Linked DNA regions of Caenorhabditis elegans. The main gene of each other region encodes a partner of the protein of the gene in region 3 in a complex. Each region holds a gene or a part of one and is shown on either strand. Other genes may lie near its edges. The genes, in order: nud-2, bicd-1 and egal-1.

The links.
Region 1: egal-1 (region 3) and nud-2 share a complex: the UniProt entries of both Caenorhabditis elegans proteins name them as parts of the dynein-regulating complex.
Region 2: egal-1 (region 3) and bicd-1 share a complex: the UniProt entries of both Caenorhabditis elegans proteins name them as parts of the dynein-regulating complex.

The regions. Positions count from the first base shown.
Region 1 is NC_003279.8:7,857,108-7,861,776, forward strand, and holds nud-2 (Protein nud-2), read right to left. Parts: upstream 2,311-4,669; 5' UTR 2,297-2,310; coding exon 2,087-2,296; intron 2,002-2,086; coding exon 1,611-2,001; intron 1,562-1,610; coding exon 1,446-1,561; intron 1,180-1,445; coding exon 1,015-1,179; 3' UTR 649-1,014; downstream 1-648. Other genes in the region: apb-3 (AP-3 complex subunit beta), read left to right, coding at 1-167, 343-639. UniProt on the Caenorhabditis elegans protein: Part of a complex with lis-1, which is recruited to the nuclear envelope by unc-83, where, in turn, it recruits dynein to the nuclear surface and regulates nuclear migration in hypodermal precursor cells.
Region 2 is NC_003282.8:6,565,992-6,574,377, forward strand, and holds the start of bicd-1 (Protein bicaudal D homolog), read right to left. Parts: upstream 6,346-8,386; 5' UTR 6,338-6,345; coding exon 6,137-6,337; intron 5,727-6,136; coding exon 5,250-5,726; intron 4,866-5,249; coding exon 4,728-4,865; intron 4,468-4,727; exon of another isoform or gene 4,447-4,467; intron 4,354-4,446; exon of another isoform or gene 4,333-4,353; intron 4,276-4,332; coding exon 4,083-4,275; intron 3,766-4,082; coding exon 3,578-3,765; exon of another isoform or gene 3,560-3,577; intron 3,494-3,559; coding exon 3,401-3,493; intron 3,348-3,400; coding exon 3,104-3,347; intron 2,935-3,103; exon of another isoform or gene 2,913-2,934; intron 2,413-2,912; coding exon 2,030-2,412; intron 1,927-2,029; exon of another isoform or gene 1,906-1,926; intron 1,523-1,905; exon of another isoform or gene 1,497-1,522; intron 1,248-1,496; coding exon 1,071-1,247; intron 831-1,070; exon of another isoform or gene 810-830; intron 358-809; coding exon 238-357; 3' UTR 1-237. UniProt on the Caenorhabditis elegans protein: Part of a complex with dlc-1 and egal-1, which is recruited to the nuclear envelope by unc-83, where in turn, it recruits dynein to the nuclear surface and regulates nuclear migration in hypodermal precursor cells.
Region 3 is NC_003282.8:5,822,970-5,831,219, reverse strand, and holds egal-1 (Egalitarian protein homolog), read right to left. Parts: upstream 6,428-8,250; 5' UTR 6,331-6,427; coding exon 6,160-6,330; intron 6,088-6,159; exon of another isoform or gene 6,063-6,087; intron 5,751-6,062; exon of another isoform or gene 5,730-5,750; intron 5,209-5,729; coding exon 4,368-5,208; intron 4,347-4,367; exon of another isoform or gene 4,326-4,346; intron 3,800-4,325; exon of another isoform or gene 3,779-3,799; intron 3,276-3,778; exon of another isoform or gene 3,255-3,275; intron 3,250-3,254; coding exon 3,059-3,249; intron 2,933-3,058; exon of another isoform or gene 2,912-2,932; intron 2,824-2,911; coding exon 2,675-2,823; intron 2,631-2,674; exon of another isoform or gene 2,610-2,630; intron 2,508-2,609; coding exon 2,351-2,507; intron 2,214-2,350; exon of another isoform or gene 2,190-2,213; intron 2,127-2,189; exon of another isoform or gene 2,106-2,126; intron 1,796-2,105; exon of another isoform or gene 1,775-1,795; intron 1,690-1,774; exon of another isoform or gene 1,669-1,689; intron 1,508-1,668; coding exon 1,292-1,507; 3' UTR 1,021-1,291; downstream 1-1,020. UniProt on the Caenorhabditis elegans protein: Part of a complex with bicd-1 and dlc-1, which is recruited to the nuclear envelope by unc-83, where in turn, it recruits dynein to the nuclear surface and regulates nuclear migration in hypodermal precursor cells.

The DNA.
Region 1 (4,669 bases), on a different chromosome or scaffold from region 3:
TAAAAACTGAAGAAGGTCTCGATGTGAAGGGAAACTCGATTATTGGAGATATTCCGTCTGGAGCACGAGTTTCTGTTGATTTGCTCGTAGATTTTGGAGATAGTGCGACAAGTAGAGAATGGATACTTACAAGAGATGATGGTCATGAGAAGCATTTCAGATTTGAGGTAATCTTTTAAATAGTTTCAGAGGCTTTTAAAATTATTTTTTCCACAAAAAAAATTGAAAAACGTAAATACTCCCTTGATGGTTAATATTTTATATCAAAACTTGTATAATTCCTGACTAGATTCCACAATCCGCATCTTTTAAAGATAAACTAAATTTTTTCCTAAATTCTAGGTCCCATATGGTGAGCAAGTTCAACCAATTCGTCTGTCTCCAGAAGATATTTCAAAAGAAAGAAGTCGTCTTGGAGGTCTCAATCGGCATGTGATACAACTCGAAAATCCCATTAATCCTTCGTCAATTGCTCTATTTGTTAACGCATTTTCTTCGGATTTGACCATTTTCACTTGCCAGACACGTTCACGAAAGGATGTTTGTATTCTGACAGTTTCAGAAAAATCGATTGAGTGCTGTTGTGACAACTCGGTGATAGGACGAATGCTGGCGTTCTCTGTCTCCAAAAATTGCTAGAAAGATTAATTCAAATTGTATTTATTTATTTATTTTGCTCACTTTTTCTTGAAATCATTCCTTTACTAACTATTCATGGTGACGGATATATAAATTTTTAACAGAAAAATTAGAAATATGTAGGCACTTTAGAAATTTGGAAAATAATGTGGGTGAATGGCGAACGTGGAACTTATATTGAGCAACAGTAAGGCGGGGCAAATAAAATCGGGGTCTAATACCAATTGGGTGGGAATAAAACATAAGCATGATACAGGATGTCATGGAAAAGAATAATAACGGAAAGAAACGAAGGAAATGATGAAATGGAGGATCCCTGAGTGAATGAAAAGTCACAGTATGCGAGAAAGGTGAGAAAAACCAAAAAATGAAATGTTAAGCCCGTGTCGTTGTAAGATGACTGGAATTGTTGTTAGACGAGTTGTTGCTCACGCGAATCGTCGATAAAATTGAATCGAGCCGCTCGACTTTTGTCATCAGGTCTTTGACGATTCGATTGATGCAAGCACCGGCGCCCGTACCGGTAGATACTCGTTGGCTCTGAAAGCTATGTAAATGTTGGCTGAGAACTATAAATGGGTTAGCAAATATTGTTTTTTCGGTCTATTCTGCATCTAGAGATGCTATCGTTTATAGTTGTGAGGGAAAAAAGAATTAGAACTCGCTGCAAGAGTTTTTCGACTAAATGTTTTTCATTCCGAAATAAGGTGTGAAGCTATTAATTGATCGAAATTTGCAGGTCTTCTTTGAATTAATATTTGGATATTTACTTTCAAAAATCCACCAAAAAAAGAAAATTTACGTACTTTTTCTTGAATATTTTTATTGTCATCGATGCGCACTTCGTCAATTTTTGCAATAGTTTCCTCCATTCGAACATCTTCGTGGTGCTGCACGTCTTCCATGAAAACATCTTCCGAGCCTTAAATAGTACTAGTTATTTTCATTCTCAAAATGCGACAAATACTTACTCATTTTAAACTCTTCTTTACTTGGACCTGGGGATGGCTCGTCCGGCAGAATTTCTGGATCATTCCTCAATGGTTCTACAATCAAACGTGGCCGTTCTGTTGTTCGAAGTTGTTCTTCTCGTAATCTATGCATTTCTTCAGCAGCAACTTGCCGTTCATAAAGCTCACTTTCCAACATTGCTATCTTTTCAATAGCATGATCCAGTTTCGATCCGAGATCAGATGCTAGATATTCCTTATTTCTTTCTGATGTTTCGAGCACATCGTTTCTCTGTTCCAGTTTTCGAATTCTTTCTCTCTGACTTTCACATTGTTCATGAAGATGTGAGTTTTCTCGTCTTAATTGCTCTTCGACTTGTGCAAATTGTACACGGGAATCGTCCTGTCGATCCTTTAAAATTCACAAAATTCAAATTATAGTTGAAAAATTTTATAAAGTTTTTTTTTTCAATTTTAATGTAAAAAATAGTACCAACCTTGTTCCTAATTTGCTCTGTGGTCATCTGCTGTACTCTGGTTTCTGCTTTTTTCAGTTGTGTTTTCAAATCATCCAATTCTGAATCCATCATTTTCTCAATTTCCGCGGAACTTGTCTGGAACTCGTTAAACTCTTCGCGCATTTGCAAGAAATGACCAAGAAGCTCATGGTGCGGTAGTCCGCGAATTTGATCCTCAGACAAATCCATTGATTTCTGATGATCTGAAAATATTAAAGGTTTAGAAAATTGTTCAGGATATTCAACAAAAATTATGAATCGTAGGAAAAAACGTATAATGCCGCCTGTGAACACACTAAACCCTTACAACGTTCGGCCACGTGTGGACAAAAAGTGAGAGAATAGAATGGACATTTGGGAAAGAGAGAAAAAGAGAACTGGTCGAACGGAGGAAAACAGAAGCAACTACGTATTAGTTGCTACCGCAAATGGATGTTTTTTGAGGTTTAACGATGTTGAAGAAAAGTCTCAGTATTCTTATAAATCGGGATATCTAAGGTCGCCATCATCTGATAGACAGCTAAAGTCATCTCTCTGAGGAAAGATGGAAAATCCTCCAAAGTTTTTGACACAAGGCATTCGAGCAAACAAAAAAGTGGGGGTGCTCCGGCTGCTCCGGCCGCCGTGTGCTCTGTGTTTGTCCTTGCTCCCATAGCTCGTCCGCACTTCCGCTACAAAAAGTCGAACAGCTGTGCGAGTAACACCAATAGGCAATAATTTTAAGATCAGATAACCTTTGAAGATTTCAAAATACTTTGAAGGAAAATTTTACTGTTTTTTGGGTTTAATACACTGATGAAGTTCAAAGAAATCTGCTATAAGAAACTAATTCCGAAAAAATTAACACTTTTTGTAAATAGAATAGAATAGTCATTCAAGAAAATCTGTGTTAAAAGAAAAATTGGTAAATTTCTTCAAAGAGTATTCCAGAAATGGCAATCAATTTTAGTAATCGATAATTAAACTTCGGAAATAGAAATTAAATTCATATAACAGTCCAATTTCCCACACGAAATTCAGGTCAAACTCACGATAGGCAGCAGTCGGAGGAATGGGGAGCGGCAATGGTCGCGTATAATAACTGATAACAAATAGAATAAGGAATGCAGAATATATTGAGCATATTATTTGAAAGATTTTCAAGTTAAGCGGGTCAATTTAGTTGTAACGATTGAGACTAATGATGTAAGTGAGAATTTGGAGAGAATGAAATGTATTAACAAACATTTAAAAAATGAAATTCCAAAACGCCTACGCATGACTCATCGAGTTGTTGAGTTCTAATTGGATTAGGTGTGGTGAACACAGAAAATCGTACGAATTAGTGAACAGAAACACGAAACCGGTTGAGATAATAAATGACCAATTTCAGCGGTTAATATAGGATTCACGAATCACTGGGCCACGTCACGAGGAGAGTTGGGGGTGGTATAATCTGTTTTTCGCGTTTTTTCCCGCGCCGCAGTACCACACCTAAATTTGATATTCGAAAATGTAAATGAACGAGAAAAGTGCTTCACATACACACAAACTATACGATTCATCTATTTCCTATTCAGGTCGACATGACACGATCAAGGTTAACATCACTCTGCTGAAGAATTGAATAGTACGAACAGGTGAACAAAAAAAGAAAGCGATCGTCGCAAAAGATTCCTCCACATTGAGAAGCCTATCAAATCAGTATTTGACTTCACTCGTAAAGTGCCAATCGAAGAGCGAGAGCTCTGTGTTGACATTTTGGTGCTCTGACAAACTGAACTGATCATAAAACTTTTTTGTTCGGGGGCAAGCAAAAGCTGAGTAAATACGTGTTTAGCAATGAAAATGCCGAGTTTAGAAACACTCAAAACTGCCAAGAATAGAAGACAGAAATTTCGTAAAAGAGTAAATGGTGCAAAATTTCAAAGCAATTGTTGAAAATTAAAAGAAGAAAAAACATTTAGTTTAAAAGATGGTTTCAAAAATCTGTTACACAATATGTCGTCAAATATGCTGCATTAAAAAACTTGCGTACTAAGAGAACTACAGTAATACATATATTTTCAATGCTCGCCCGGAAAATTAATTGAAAACGTTCAACGAAGAATTTTGAATTTGGCCTAGTGGAAAATAATAATTTCAAAGCCATCTTTTCATGACGATAAATCTCGAAATCGTCCACCCAACCAGGTTAACAGGGAATTTCAATTTAAAAATTTAAAATTAATAAGCAAACAGGCAAGACTCCTATTTGAAACAGTACAACAATTTTGAATTCAGGCAATGACGCCAAATACCATCAAAAATGAGTCAGTATGGTGTGGGAGAAAGACTAAGACAGTACTGAGGAAGTCAGAGGCGGAGAGTGAAGGAAAATGTTGATGCAGTCTCGTGTATAGCTTCGCGTGAAAGAAAATATTGAGGAGTTTCGAGAGACGATTGAGAAGATGAGAGAGTGACGGACGCGCGGAGGGATTAGAGATTCCTCTCACGCAGACAATCGATTTTCGTTGGAGAAAGAGAAGATGAAAAAGAAGAAGGAGAATGGAATGCCAGCAGTCATCAATGCAACAGACAATA
Region 2 (8,386 bases), 740 kb from region 3:
CGAATATCGATTCTTGTTCTTTAAGTGCTAATCGCATTCTTTCAATTTCAGATTCAACTCTCATCTCTTCCATCATTAAATCAATCAATAATTGGGGATCTTCTTCATTTTTCAGGTCGTAGGGCCACGTGGTGATGACGTGGTTTTGTGTATTAATTGATTCTTGATCATTTGGATCCTCTGGTGTAGGTGTTCGTCGTCTTCTCATCGTTGTCACGTCATCACCTGACCACCAGCTTATTGCTGATTGTCTCCCCTGCGTGGCCCTCCCCTCGAGCCCCCCGAAGATGAAGGTGCTGGCTGTTGAGCTGTTGTTGTTGAACCCGGATAACGAACTGCTCTCGGTGGCTGGTAGGTCTGAAAACGGAGAAGATTAAATTAACTTCTAGAAGAAAAAAACAATTTTTTTGGATTTTTCAAAGTAAGAAAAAGTTTAATTTTGTCGAAAACTTTTCCAGAAAATCATAACATAGTGCTTGAAAATTGCCGTTTGTAGCTAAAAGTGCGTAAAGTTTTTTGGCAAAACTTCAACTTTCGAGCACTATTTCAAGATTTTTTCAAGCTTTTCACCAAAATTAAAGTTTTTTCTGCATTTCCATACCAATCAATTGAAGATTTAAAAAGATTGGATTGTCATATTAAAAAGGCAGTTTTGTACGTTTGGCGAAAGATTTGTGTCTTTGTTAAAAGGTTTTTTTTATCGTTTTAAACTAAATTTTCCAATTTTTTTCGTTTTTTCTTTGTTATTCTTGGCATATCAAATAAATTTCGAAAAAATTCCCCAAAAGAAACAATCCGCCTTCCAATGTGTTCTGTATATCAAAAAATCATTGCTTTTTGAAATTTCAACATTTTTTTGTGAATGTTTTGAAACAGTGAACATAATTAAAGGCGGAGTATCGTCTGTTGAGATTTTTCTTCAAATTAGAGAAAATGGGTCATAAAGAACTTTAAAAAAGTTATTTTTAAAAAAATTTTTAAAAAAAAGACTGTTTTAATTTTTATGGTTTTTAATCAGTGATTCCATTAAAGACGTCACATTGGACGATACTACACCTTTAATATCTCACCTCTCTAGTTGGAGCTCTTGTACTACTCCTCTTAAATACCTGCCTATCCCGATCAACTTCAACCTCTTCTAAACGTTGAGTCAATGTGAGCTTCTGTTGAATTGCTAAACGAAGAAGTTGATTTAATGTCTTCTTTTCCTCTTCATTTGCACGCAACTCGTTTGATAGTTCTTCCACCTGGAAAATTGTTAAATTTGATTTTAAAATTTACAGAAGATACTACTCCAGATACGATTAAAGTGATAAAATATTGCGTTTTGACCATATGTTTTTTTCAAATTCAGAGTTCAGACACTAAATTCAAGTAAAAAACAAATCGAGTTTTAAATGTTAAAAATAATTCAAAGTAAACAAACTGTACGAAGATGAAAATTAAAAAAAAAGTATGTTTCAACTGCTACAGATACAATAGAAGTGAGAAAATGGTTAGATATACCCCTATGACTATCAACTTAAAATGAAGTTCAATTCAAAATAAATCCTTTGTGAAACAGTAATTTCATTTACGGAAAGTTTTAATTAGAAGATGATCGCATCTATCAACTCGGCATTTGGGGGAAACTTTCTTTAAAAACTTGACAACTTCTGTCAAACTATAGTCAATATCTGTTAACGTTTAGCTGTTGAGAAAGCAACTAACTTGAGAAATTTTCATTAAGCTGCCAGGTCAGAAACTTGACTCCAAATAAAAATTTGTAAATTTTGAGAAAACGATTTTTTTTCCAACGAGAAAAATAATTCAAAGTAAAAGTTAATAACCCTAAAAAGTTTAAATATTAAAAATAGTTTCTGTTTCAACTACTACAGATACAATTTAAGTATATCTATTTTGTAATAGGGAATCTGGAATGGAAATGTTTGAATTAGTAATTAAACAGAGCTACCGTATGTCATATTATAAAAGCTATACTTTTCCCGAAATTAGAAATTCCTAACTGTTTCAAAACAAAACTAAATACCTTTGACTTGAGTTCCTCTCCTCTTGCAGTGAACATTGCCCTATGAGATGCAAACGTGGCAGCATCTTCCTTCAATTGTTTCAATTCTCTTCTCATTTTATCATTAATTTCCATCATCATTTTCTTTTCTGATTCATATTTTTCTCTCATTGAAGTCAATGCACTTTCAGCAGTCAGCTTATTCGATTTCAAAACAGTTCGAAGCGTTGAAATCTGATCTCGTTTTGTTGATAAAAGACTTCGCAATTTCATATTCTGCATTTCAATTTCATTTTCAGCTCCACTTGCCATAACTGCTTGATTGAATGCTTGTTCAGAGGTTCTTTTCACCACTTGAATCATCTTTTTCAACGATTCTGTGGTTTCGGAAATGGCATTTCCTTCTGAAAATAATGTATTTAATATATTCGAATGTGAGAATGAGATGTATATTGGCAAATTGAAAGTTGTAACGTTTAATATCAAGAGTCTTAATCACTCTTTAAATTTAACGCCATCAAACCTTAAATGAATGTTTGATACAAAGTAGTAAATTCAATGCAATATTGAAAAACATACTGCTCATAGAATTCCAATTTATGGAAAAAAAAAGTTGGTTGAAACAGTAATTTTATTTATCTTCCAAAATTTTTTTTATTTCAGCAACTTCTCTAAAACTAATAATTATTCTTGAAAAATTTAATTCGAATAAAAAATAAATTTTTCCTGCTTCTATTAATCGATTTAAATATTGCTAGACATTCCAAATATTTTCAACCAAATGAAGTATTTGAAGAAGAATTGTCTTTTGGCAAAGCTCTTTTTTTGAATTTTTCGATTCAAAAACAAACCAGTAAGTATTCTAAGTATACTAAGTATACAGTAAGTACAGTAAATTCAATGTAGTGTTGAAACCTCGACTCAAATAGCTAATATAAACCCAATTTATGATAAAAGTTGGTTGAAACAGTAATTTTATTTGTCTTTCGTAAAATCTCGTTGTTTTTTTTAATTGTAGCATCTTCTCTAAAACTTGTACATTTTTGGAAAAGTTTTGTATCCAGCTCTTTTTTGCGATTCAAAAACTAAACAAACCAGTAAGTATTCTTTGCCTCAAATCAGTCTCTGACAACACATCGCCAATCTTGACACTTGCCAACTTTTTCTCAATTTCCTTCGCAAAACTTGGCGCAATAACAAGACGATCGGAATTCAATGGAATTGATCTTGATGCATTAACATCTGTCTCTGTTCCACTTTCAACTCCTTCATCTGCCAACGAGACACGTGGAACGTCTTCTGCATTGGCACGAGCCAATAGACGCAACTTTTTCACAATCTGAAATATACAAAGTTCTGTTCATTTTCTATAAATATTAAAATAAAATTTACCTCTTGTACACTCTTTTCTGTTTGAACTCCTTGGTTCTGTGTCATTTGATGGTAGAATTGATAAAGTTGATCGGAGACTTGAATCATTGCGTCCTGAATTTTCAACATTTACATTTTCATAATGTTCTTAATTTGGTTCGCAATATGAAACTTTTATGATTTAATTCAAAAACTAACTTGAGCAGCTGCCAACTGAGCACTTTTCTCTCCAGCAACCAATACAAGTGTCCTCAAATCAGCCTTCAAAATTCCCGATCGTTTTTCTTCTCCTTCTTTATCATGACGGTCAGTGTCACGAGCAATGTTCTGGATTTTCTCTAGTACAACGTCTTTTTGTTGACGAGCATGCATGTAGTCGAGCTCATCTGTAAAGAAAACTTTGTTAGGGAATGCACGGGGGAACTAATTTTTTAAAAATTGAATAATTTTGAATATAACTAATTGTAAATATGATAAAATATTCATTTTAAAGGAAATTTGCGAAGCTTTTATTCACCCAAAACCCTGAAAACTCTGAAAAACTACATACATCTACGCTAGACTCCAATACTACCGTTGACCAATATGAAATGAATGTGAAACATTGAAAAATTTGGTGAAAATTGAATGTTATAACTTTTCACCATGTCTTCAATGGTTTATCACACTCCAAATCAAACTGAAATGTTCTATTTAAACTCACTTGTTGGTCTATGAATATTGAGGGTGTCTGCTAATCCGGTTACAAATTCGATGAAAATCTTCTCTCTGCTCTTTAATTCTTCTTGAAGTCCTTCCTTTGCAGCTTCCAGTTCACGAACTTTTACATCACTTGATCCTTGTAATTCACTGAAGAGGTCACTTGCTCCAGGTTGTGGAGGTGGCAGTTCGCCGTCCTAAAAAATTACTGTTTCATAAGATTTATACAAAAATGTTTGGTGTTGAGCGTGTGGTCCGTTAAAAGCATGTGCCACACTTTCATTCAACAATTAATTCAAGTGTTTCTGCCATTTCATGCGCCTTTTGAACACAGAAATATTAAAATAACATTTGACTAAATAATAGAAAAATCGATACCGAAAGAACAAGCCTACAACACTCCTCTTGGCCAATATAAATTGAATACGAAACATGTGAAGCTCATTTTTCTTTAAGAGCAATTTTTTCTTCCCAACTTGTTAAGTTTAGTTTCAAATTATCAGTTATCAAATGTATTTTTAAAATTCACGTATACAAAAGACATTTTGTATATAAGTGTTTTAACAAAATTTCACAGGAACTTTTAAAATAGGAAAACAAACTTTTATTAAAAGTTAATTGTTTTAATTTTTTAACAAAAAAAACAAACCTCCCCAAGCCTTTCCAATCCAAAAAGCATATCATTTAAACTACTGATATGCTCTGCATTTCTTGTCTGTTCTAATTCTCTTTTCATTGCCAATCGCTGATCCCGTTCTTGTTGAGCTGTGAGCAGAGCTTCTTCGAGCTGAAATATTTATGATAAGTTGGAAAGTTTTTCATACAAAAATTGAGGTTTTGAAAATATACATTGAGGCGACCCGTTCAAAAATTTCAATGAAAAACGGGAGCTATAAAATAATAATAACAGGTTATAAAATTAAAATAAAAGTTGTCTAGTTTTCGTTTTTTTTACTGTTTCAATCACCTAATAAATTTTGTATTGTATTGTATTGTATTTATTACGATTCAAATCGTGATCAAAAATAAATAGTGAATAGACATGAAAATTTCATAATGTTTTTGCAGTTGCAATTCCAAACAAATAGGGAAATGTTTGAAATTATTCACATATTTTTAGGAAAACTTGTTAAAGTTTCTGAGAGAGTTGTAATTTTTCAAAGTGTCTCACCTGTTTGTCAGCAATAACTCTTAATATTTCATCTTCCTCTGCAGCCATTTTCATAATTTCAATAGTCTCTTCCAATCGATTATTATCAATTCTTAATGATTCATATTCCACTTGACTTCCTCTTAAATTTGCAACAGTCTTCTGTAATCCAATATTTTCTTCTTCTAACTCTGAATATTCAGAAATTAATCTTTGTTCTCTTTCTTTTGTTTCTTTTAATTCAGCTCTAAGTTTTCTTCTTTCATCTTCTAATGCAGCTCCAGAATCGATTTCTTTCGAATGTTTCTTTTCAATACTTTCCAATTCTTCTTTCTTTTCTGCCAATTCTTGTTCTTTTTTCTTAAGATCTGCTTCTAATTTTGCAATTCTCTGTAGATATTCCTCTTCTTTTGCTGAACTTTCCTCGAGTAGAGATTCTTCATTTTCGAGTTCACTTCGAGTGGACCGTTGATGTTGGGAACGGTATTCAGCAAGAGTCTGAAAATAAGAGCAACTTGAACAACTTGAGCTTCAATAATAATTTTGTTAACACTTTACTAGTCTTTTGTTAAGCTCAATTTTGGCAGCTCATACATCTTCATCAAAAATTGTAAGCTGACAAAAATGTTGATTGTTCATTTTTCTATATTTTTACAGTTCAAAATTTTATGAAATATTTAAAAAAAATGGTAAGAATGACTGCAACAAAACGAAAAAAGTGAAAAATTTTCCTATATTTTTGTTACCTACCTGCGTAAGTCTGAATAAAATTTTTTTGATAGTTGCATGCTTATATTTTAAAAATAAATGAAATAGTACGAAAAATTTCGAATATTTACCATTTACTTGAAACATTAATTTTTTTTCAATATTTTTTCCGATTTTTATTTTCGAAATCGAATACTTACCTGATTAGTTTTATCAATTTCAGTTCTTGCCAAATCCAATTCTGCCTGCATCTCTGCTAATCGTTTCTCTAGATCTTCCTTTTGACGGAGCAATTCTAAACCCGCATTTGCTGCCTTATGAATATCTTCTTTGGCTTGTTCATATTTTTCTGTAAGGATTGCAATATCCTGACGAAGCTTCTCCAATTCTGATTCAGCCATTGTGGCTGCTGAAATTTAAATGTTAGAGAGTTGGAAATATCAAACATGAAAATAACTTAAAAAGGGGGAAAAATACTTCACTGAGTATTCCTTTAAAAAATTGTTGAAATAATTACAATTTGAAACAGGAAAAAATTTAAAAATTTAAATTTAAATAAAATGTTCTCAAATGACCACATTTTCTTTTAAAAACAAAAATTAAACAAAACCAGGAATAAGTAAATTTCAAAATTTCCAAGATATTAGTGCGACAGGTTCAATTTTGGAAATTTGCGTTTTGTCGACTAGGAGAGGGTGTCGAAAAACTAATTGTATATTCATAAGGTTTTCGTTTTCGGCTCCCGCGAGAGAAATAGTACAGGTTGAGAGGAGAGTTTAGAGATAGAGGTAACACTAGTTTCAGTAGAATTATGAAATGAAGAATGGACTAAAGAGAATAGAGAGAAATAGGGAATAGAAATGAACAAAAAACAAATAGAAGAGAATGGAAGAAAGAGTGGCTGACCTGACACAAATATTGAGTGCTGTTTCGTTTTTTTTGTTCACTCGGCAGCCAAAATCGACACAAATGCGGGGCGAGACTACTGTTCTAATGCCTCCGCAAACCGTTCTGGGTGGAGCACGGAAGACGGGGGAAATCACCGGAAATTGATGAGTCAGATCATTTTTTTCTTTTTTTTTTGGAAGGAAAGTTTAGTCACATAAAATGATATGGTTTTGGGGTTATTGATTGATTTTCAAGGAACTGATATTAACCATGCGAGTAATAACTGTCAAAGAATAGCTCTCGTTTTAAGCTTAAACCTAGAATTTAAATTTTTGGGCGAAACTACCTTAATGCTCTGAAGACTTTGGTTACTTATTTTTGCACTCAGCGACAGAAATTGTACAAAAATTAACTACAATTGTTTATAAATGAGCATAAATGGCCGAATTTCATAATGTGATTTCTTGAAAATTTTGAAAATTTTTTAGTTATGCCGGATGAAAATTATTTTTAAAAATCGCATTCTCCTAAAGTCTAAATCTAGAAACGGGCTTTTTTTCAACTTTTCAATTTATCATCTTAATTTTCTAGTTTGAGTCTTTATTCCGGAATTGTTTAAAGCACTCTACTGGCATTCAAATTTTGAAACATTTGTATTCCAATAAATTTAAAATATACTACAAAATAGTGTGATAACTGATCATGCTTTTATAACAATTCATTTCCAGACGCTGCGACAAAAAATGACAGTCTTAGCGCTAAGTATAGATTTTTTGAAAGTTTTGGCTCTTTTCTAATGTTTCAATCAATTGAAAAATTTTGCTACTTCACTTTAAAAACCTTTCAGAATTCGGGTAATGTTTCAAACTATTGCATATTTTTCCAACCAATTCTGTTTTGGGTATTTTTATTATGTGTTCTTTTTTATTGGTTTGTTACAACATTTTAGTCATTATAACAAAAAAAAATCAAACGAGAAAAAATTTAAATTACGTATGCAAGAGAACAGTTGGGTAAAACTCGTAGAAGCTTATTAAAAAATTTGCAGAAGTCGATCAAAGTTTTGCAGACATGCAATTTTTCTTGTAATTTAAAAACAATTTTTTAAACAACACAAAAAATATTTTTGATTAATAATCGAATATATGTATTACAGTATGAAAAATAATATTGTGTTTCGCTTGGAACTAAAAAAAAAGATGTACATTAAACGAACAAAATTTTTGAAAAACTTATCAAAAAATATAAACAGTAAAAAACTTATTTCTCGAATAAGGCTAGATTTCTCTTGCACTCTACAGTACTAAAATGCCATTGAAAAATTGAGATCTAGTAACAAAATAAATCTCAAAAACATACATAAAGTATCTCTATAAATTTATAACTTTGTCTTATAGACTTCATTCAAAAATACAGAAAATTAATGTGATATTTTCTCGGCTCTATGATAGAAAAATCCTTTACAAAACAATCAAGAAAGAAGGGAAAAGGTTTCGAAATCTTCAAAAACTTTATAAAAATATATCCAACATAAAGGTCCACCCCGATGCAATTTGAAACCA
Region 3 (8,250 bases):
CTTCGTTCCGTTTTTTTTTCACTTTGTTCTTTTATTGTGTAAGGGGGTGCACTTCTAAATTCAATGGGCACAAAAATATATTTTTATACGTTTTTATGAGATAATTGAATTCAAAACTATCAAACAAATGCATTTTCAGCAATTGCAGTATTTTCTTGTTATAAAATGTAATTTTTAGTATAAATTTAGATGAATAAAAATGCAAATAGAGAAAATGGCTTTGTTGTTCGAAGAACTGAAGTTTGAATACATTCTGAGGTGTTAAAATACTACCAAATAAATTACTGTTTTTCGATTTTTATAAACTTTGAGTGACTGACTGATAATTGCTTATTTTTTTGGTAACAACTATTTCTAGTTCTTTTCTTGTTGTAAGATATAATTTTAGTACAAATTCAAATAAAAGCAGTAGGTAACAAAAAAACAATGTTGTTCAAGGCGACAAATTGAAATTAATTTTAAATTTTTTAAATTTTCAAAAAATTTACCGTTTCTAGACTTTTGTAAAATTTGGGTGAAATTAATAGTTTTGATTGCAAATCTTGATGAGTGAATAATTATTAGAAGATTGTCGGAATATGCATACACGAATCGAAAATGGGCGCAGTGATTGAAATTTTGCAAGTGTATTGAAACTGTATTCAATATTTTATAAGACTTTCATTTGAAACATAAAAAACCAAATAAAAGTATAACTGTGCATTCACAAGCTAAACAAATGGCCAGAAATCGTCAAAAGGATCTTGTTGAGTGCCCCGCGTAGATAAATACGTTTGTCAAGGTATTCAGAGAAGTGCTACGTGTGGTGATGAATGATCCAATTGGTGAAAATGCTTTGAATCGGTTCAAACTATAAATTTCACACAAATTTTACAAAAGACTAGAAACGGTAAATTTTTTGGAAATTTAAAAAATTGAAAATTGATTCTGATTGTGAAACAGTAATTTGTGTAGTGTTGATTTCCACATAAAACCTAAGAGAGTTGCTTAACATTTTGTAATTTTTTTGAAACTGCATATAAAATGTAATAAATTTTCATTAAAAACAATAAAAAAAATCCAAATAAAATTTAACTGTATACACCGATGAAAACTGAAAGCTGTGAATTTTGGAGAAAAGAAGTTTTTTTTTTTGAATTTCAAAAAGAAGAGCGTGCAAAGTGTTTCTATTGCACATTAAATAATTTTTAACAAATGAAAACGAGGAAAAAGTGATGATGATGTATTGTCAGAGAAGGCATTTCTTGGTGAAAAGAGAGAAAATAATGAATGATTATCAAATGAGAATTAACTACTCGTAGAATACGTTGAGCACTTCGATATCGCCCGTTGAGAACGTTTGGGTGCATGCATCCGACATTTGTGGACGCGGAGCAGCTGCATATGGAGCTGGTGAGAATGATTGCATTATTGATCCACCATTTCGAACATCACGACGAGTTGAAGCACGATATGGGGAAGAAATGAATGGTTGAGGTGGTGGACGATTGGGTGATGCTAGGAGAACCTGGAATTTTGGAATTTTTCGATGGGAAAAAGTAGGAAAATTGTATAAATTAACTTAAGAACAAAAAATTCAATTGAAATTCGAGATATTTTTAAGAAGTGCTGAAATTTTCCACCGTTTCAGATGGGGAGTTTAACTTGCTCAAAATATAATAATACTGTTTAGTTCAACAGTTCAATCGTTTACAAAACTTCTATTTCAAATCTAAATTATTTTTCCCACTGTTTTAAATAAGGTATTTAATTAAAGTCCGAATGAAAATTATGATAGATAGAATGGAACTTTACCAGCGTCGAATTGCCTAATTGTTGCCCGAAAAAAATTTCAAAATTTGATTTAAAAATTGAAAAAAAAAATAATTCTTCGTCAATTTCTTAGCAAAATCGGTGCCAGAACTTTATCATTTGGAATAATATGGAAAGTTAATTTTGAAAGTAGAAAGTACAAGTAGACATTAACGTTAAAAAGTATTTGATGAAAAATTTTAAATTTTTAGTTACATTTTGGGCGCTGTTTCGGTTTCGGGAAAAACAAAAAAAATTGTAATTGGAGTCTTTTTCAGAAAATTTTCTAATTTAAATTTAAATTAAATTAAAGTTTTGGGTTAAACATTGCAATTTTGTGGTAAAAAAATGTATACAATTTCAAGATGTTTTCAAGAAAGGGGATCAAATAATCGTGATAATGGGTAACAATTCTAAAGTGATAATGGTGATACTGATAAGGCTCATGAGGTTTTTCAAAGCTTAAACTAAACTAAACCAAAACTAAACAAAACTGAATAATATGCATGATGCAAAACTAAATGGTGCATTTTTGAACAAAAAATCAACAAAACCGAACCTCTGGATGGTTTACCTCGATGCATTTATCTTCAAATACACCACGTAAATGCACCGGAATCAGATTTGAGAGAGATTGATAGAGAGCTGAAAGAAGGCAATGAGCTTCTTCCACAATTGTCAACTGGAATTCTTCTGTGATTGGTCGGACACCCCAGCTGAAAATATAGAAGGTTTATAGCAGAATGTGTTAATGTTGAATGAAAAAAAATTACGGTTTCAAAAAGTTTACAAGTAAATTTAAGATTTTATGGAGTTACTGACAGTGTTTTTCCTATTGTTTTTTTTTAAATTTTATTTTTTTAACAAAGAAGATGAGACTCACTTCGGGCACATGCTCATTTTCCGTGGAGTCACGTCGCTGAGCATAATTGACTGTGGATAATAGACACGTTGAAGGTTGATGAATGATATTGGACGCATTTCATTCAGAGATTTGTTGAATTTCTCGTGTTGAAGAAGTGAGTGAGCAACCTGAAATATAGTTGTTAGAATGAAAACGTTGAAAATTCATACATTTTCTAGGTGTACATTTTAGAGGGATATTTGAACTGAATATTAGTGAACTTATATAAAATATAAAAGATAGTTTGAAAAAGTTTCAAAATTCAAAATTTGAATACCGAGCTCTCGGCCATTTTTAGAAATACAAATTTGAGATTTCCCTAGCGAAATTTTGCAAAATTAATATTAAAATCGATTTTCTTACCTGAGTATCGAAAACATTTCTCATGTGAACTGCATACTTATGAGCCAATAGAGATGCAACTCTTCTTGCGTCGTGAATAACTTTCACCACTTTCTCACTCTCCAAAATCCCTTTGAATCCAGATTCCAAAATGATGACGTCACTGGAGGCGAGATCGAAAATTCCGATTTGAGATGTTGTGGCGATCACTCCTGGAATTATTCATTGTAATGTCTCAATGTTTCTAACGGTTTTGAAATTTTTTTACAATAATGAAGAAACAGGATTTTTTTGAGATATTGGGTACAGAATACCTCGAAATATCGTTAATGAAAAATATTTGAAATTAAGAAAACTTGAAGGTAACTCATCATTTCGCGGATTGTTTTTGCATGATATATGGCGAGTAGTTTTTTTGAAAATAACAGAACTGAACAGGAATTCAAAAAAAAAGTAATAAAATTTGGAAGATATTACCCTAAAAAGAGGCAAAGGCTTGGGGCAACATACTTTCGAAATTTCTAAAAAAAAACTAATTTTTAAAAATTTCATGTGACCGTTCTAATACATGTTCCATGTAAAGCTAATTGAGAAGTTTCCTACCCCCGGCAGCTAAAATCAGTCAAAAAAGAGTCCCCCTTTCACAAGGATCACAATGGATACTTGTTCCGTTTGGAAAATTTCAACAATTTTTACTGTTACAAATCGTCGGTTTAGGTGTCTCAAAACAATTCAGAGTAGTAATCAGACTTTATTGAGACAAAATAATATTTTTTGCCAGGGTTTCAAAGTCTTTGGCTGAAATTTATGCCATAGAAAGGTATCAATCAAAGCTTCATTTTAAGATTTAACAGTTTTTCTTTCTTTTTTGAAAACAAAAAGAAAACCAAAAAAAGTTCATGAACTGAAATTTTTCCGCAAAAAACCGTAAAACGTTGACCTGAATCTGTTTTCTTGTTTCGTGAGATTTACGTTTCTGGTCATTTTTGTAACTTTTCGTCGTAATTATTTTGTTTTTCGCTTTCAAATTCTCAAAATAGTCTCAGAAAATCAACAGAAAAAGGAACAAAATCGAGTAAATTCAAACAGGGACTGTAGCAAAAATTTAAAAATCCTGATTTTTAATGCTGAATGTTTTATTTTTTCTTAGTGTTTTCCTTTGTTTTTCGTGAATTTTTGAATTTAGGATTATTTTGGGTGTTTTAGAACACAATCTCCATTAACGCAGCCCCACTGTTAAATACTGTTTCATTCCTTGGTCATAGAGCATCATAACATTTCAGAGTATTATTAGAATTTTTCGAACAACTTTGTTTGAAAAATAACTCACCCAAAGACAAAAAGATTTCTCCATCAACTCCGACCGTAACAGTTTTCAAATCCAATCCAACAACCTTCTTTTCCATGTTATTAATATCCTGCCACAGTCTTGAAATTAAATCTTGTGCCGGTTTAAGTGCTTTCACAAAATGAATTCTTGTCAATGCACTTTGATCAAGTGGAAACATTCCATTATTATTTGTCTCTTCACCTTCATCTGATCCATTTTCAGATCCATCTTCATTTAGACGATTCTTCACGAGAGATACTTTATTGGATCTAATGAAGAAAAGTCCTCGATTCAATTTTAAAAACTGAAGAAGTTCTTTTGGATTTGTAGCAACATCCTGGCGAATAGTGTGAGAGAATCGTTGACAAAAGTTTTGATAGAATTGATCCAATGGAATAGGTTGATCTTCATTTTGTTCCAAAACTGATTTCAAATATTCTACAGCTGCTTGTTTAGCTTTAACTCCAGCCAAAGGTCTTCCTTCATCATCCATTTCAATTGCATTTTCATCTGGTTCAGGCATATTCTTCAATCGAACTCTATCACCTTCAACAACAAAATAGTCAACTTGAGATTGCAAAAACTCGCAAAACTCCTTTAAATGACGTCCTGATACAAGACGAACTTCTGGAGCAGCTTGAGAACGATGTCCCAATAGAGATTTTATTTGCAATTCTGGACCGAATTTCGTAAGTTTTGTGACGAAAAAGTCGACGGCTTCTTTTTCGTAATTTCGACTACGAATACCCGATTGGAGAAGTGGATTATTTTTTGCATTTAGATCATTATGCCCATTTAGAATTACTTGATCTCCTTCGACAGTGAACAGAGATGGATGACCCTGGAAATGAATTAAATTATCGATATTTTATTAACAATATTAAATTTTTGTGGAAATATTTTAATTGAAAATTAAAAAAATCTAAATTTTCTAGATATGACATTTCGTATAATTTTTCAATTTTTTTTTTCAAAGGATACTGTGTAAGAATTTGTAGAAAATAGTAGCCTTTTGAGTTTTGTTAGTTTTTTTCTTTGGGAGGAACTATTTTTTTGATATTTTTCCATTTTTTCTCCGGACAAAAACAGTTTCTCAAAAAATGTGAAAAATGGTAAAAATGAAAAATGGCGTAAAAAAAGTGAAAAATGTCAAAATGTCAAAAATGTCAATGTCAATGTGTAAAATGTCAAAAAAAATGTGTAAAAAATGTGAAAACAATAAGATTTTTTTAGAAACTCGTTTCTTCTGGAGGTTTTTTTTTAAATTTTTGTGAAATTGACTATAAATATTTCAAAATTATAGATTTTTCAAGGTTTTGAAATTTTCTATAGAATATACTTACTTACTTACTTAGGCGATCCGTTCTCTAGGAATTCGTGGTATTCCTGCGAATCACAGCTACTCATAGATATGAGTTATTTGAAACAGTAAAAACACAATAAAAACTTTTTCAGAAAATTTATCAAATTTAATTCCTCTTTGAAAAGCCAGGATATTAAATTTTTGTGGAAATATTTTAATTGAAAACTCAATGAAAAAAATTAAAATTTTCTGAATAAATTGGAGCTGGAAATCTAAATGTTCTAGGTTCTGGATGTTACGGTGAATTTTAAATTAATTTTTCACAAACTTTGTAAGAATGAATACGATATTGCATGGGAATTTGATTTTTACTTTTGTATAACTTTACAAAATTTAGAAATTCTAGAACGCGATTAATAAATTTTTTCAAAATTACAAATTCTTGAAAATTTGTCGAAACAGTAAAAAAATATTTTGTTCACTCCTCACCTGCAAAAACTCGGTTAATCCCTCTTGAGTTGTTCCAACAGCATTTCTCATTTCTTCACTAAACCCGCGTGCTCCAAATTGACAACTCAAATCATGAATTGTTCTTCTCCCATTTTTCTGCATCAGATGGTCCATAAAAAAGAGCAAAGCCATATTCTTTGCCTCCTCCATTTTCTTTTTTTGGTTTTAATTGATACGTGTAATGATAAGTGTTTCCGTGAAATGAAAGATGAACGCAAGATTGGCTGCGAACGCTTTTTTGGCTTACCTGCAAAAAATTAAATTAATTTTAAGTGCGTAGGGAAAGAAAATTAACTAAGAGTTTGGAAATGAACACTTGAAAATGTATTGAAACATTGAAAAAATTAAAGGAAACAATTTATTTTTAAAAACCGGATAATACAAAGTAAAGACATTTGAATTTTATATCATTTTTATATACAAAAAACGGTTCTTTTTTCAAATCGTAAAATTGTACTGTTTTTTCCGGTCAGAGACAAAAGCTTATCTATTTAACACTTCTGACTCATCAGCAATTCACAAAAAATATTATTTTGAGAATTATTCATCCTATAGAAAAATTCTCGTTGCTTCCATAAAAATATTTCATGTTTCAATAAAGTGTTTTGATGATCTAAAAAATATATTTGTGTTGCTTGGACAATTTAGCTGTTTTAAAAATGTTTTAAAACTGTTTAAAAAATGTGACGAAAATTGAAATTTGGCTCATAAAAATATTTGAAAAATTTTACTGTTTCAGATTGGTTTCATGAAAGTTTAAAAAAATGCAAGGAATATTTTAAGGCACGTAAAGAAATGTGAAAAATGTTTTGTTTCAAATTCTGAAATTAAGGATTCTGTCAAACAGTTCGTAAAATCACAAGAAAACAACAACGTATTTATTGCCCCACTTTCATAACTTGAATTATGTATTTTAACTGTTCTAAATATTTGTTCTAAAAAAGAAAGCCCAATGTAGGAACTTTTGGAAATTTGCCCTATAGGAAAGAACTACTGTTTCAGCTCTTCCATGTAAATTTTATCAAAATTTAGGAAACATTCCAAGGAGTTTTCGTATTTCTAAATTAAACAAAAATTGCACAATTACCAACTAGCGGCAAACACAAGTTTCCACCAAAAAAAAAGAAGTTTTCATAAAAAGTTCTAATCTCCAATTTCCAAAGAAATTGTGAATAAAAATGACTGTTTTAATTGTTCATTTCTAGAACACATTAATAATTAGTCTGTTTTACAAATAATGAAGAACTCAAATTATAAGTGCCAAAATATAAGTGTCACTGTTTCGGTATGCTGATACAAAAATTTAAATTTAACAACAATAATGGGTTGTTATAACAATTTTAAAACTGATAAGCTTCAAAACTACAAATACCAGGAAAATTAAAAGAATGAAAAAATTGTTTCGAGATTTTTTTTATTTTACAAGGCAACTGAAATAATGAAATTGAAAGATCACATCATTACAGTAAAATATTAAACAGTTTTATGTAGACTAAATAGCTCTAATCATTCCAAGTGAGCACGGAAATGACTGCATCGTATCTACCCAAGGACTACAGTAAAACACTGTTTCAGCTTGTTTTTATAAAAATTGAAAAAAATGAAAGCAGTATTGGTAAGAATGTATAAGAATGTTAAAACATGAACTTTTCTTTTTAAAAATTGAAAAAATTTCAATAATAATTTGTCAATTGCCAAGTTATGGAAAACATAAATTGTTTAGCAGAAAAAATGCACCGTTTCATTGTGCTGATATAAAAATGTGAGAATTACAGCTATATTAAATGAAAAGCTGGCTATGGTCCCAATATGTCTTTATTTTTTCCATTGAACTTTCAATAAGTTGATTGAAATTCTGTTTTCTATGTATTAAAAATAGAAAAAAAAAATGACAGCATTATTGGTAGTACAGTATACAGATTTCATAAAGAATACAGTATACATAAAACTTGAACGTTTCTATTGAATTTCTGCATTTCAATAATAATTTGCCAATTGGCTTTTTTTAAGTAAAACAATTCACTGTTTCAGTATGCAAATACAAAAATGCAAATGTGAAATTATGAATGT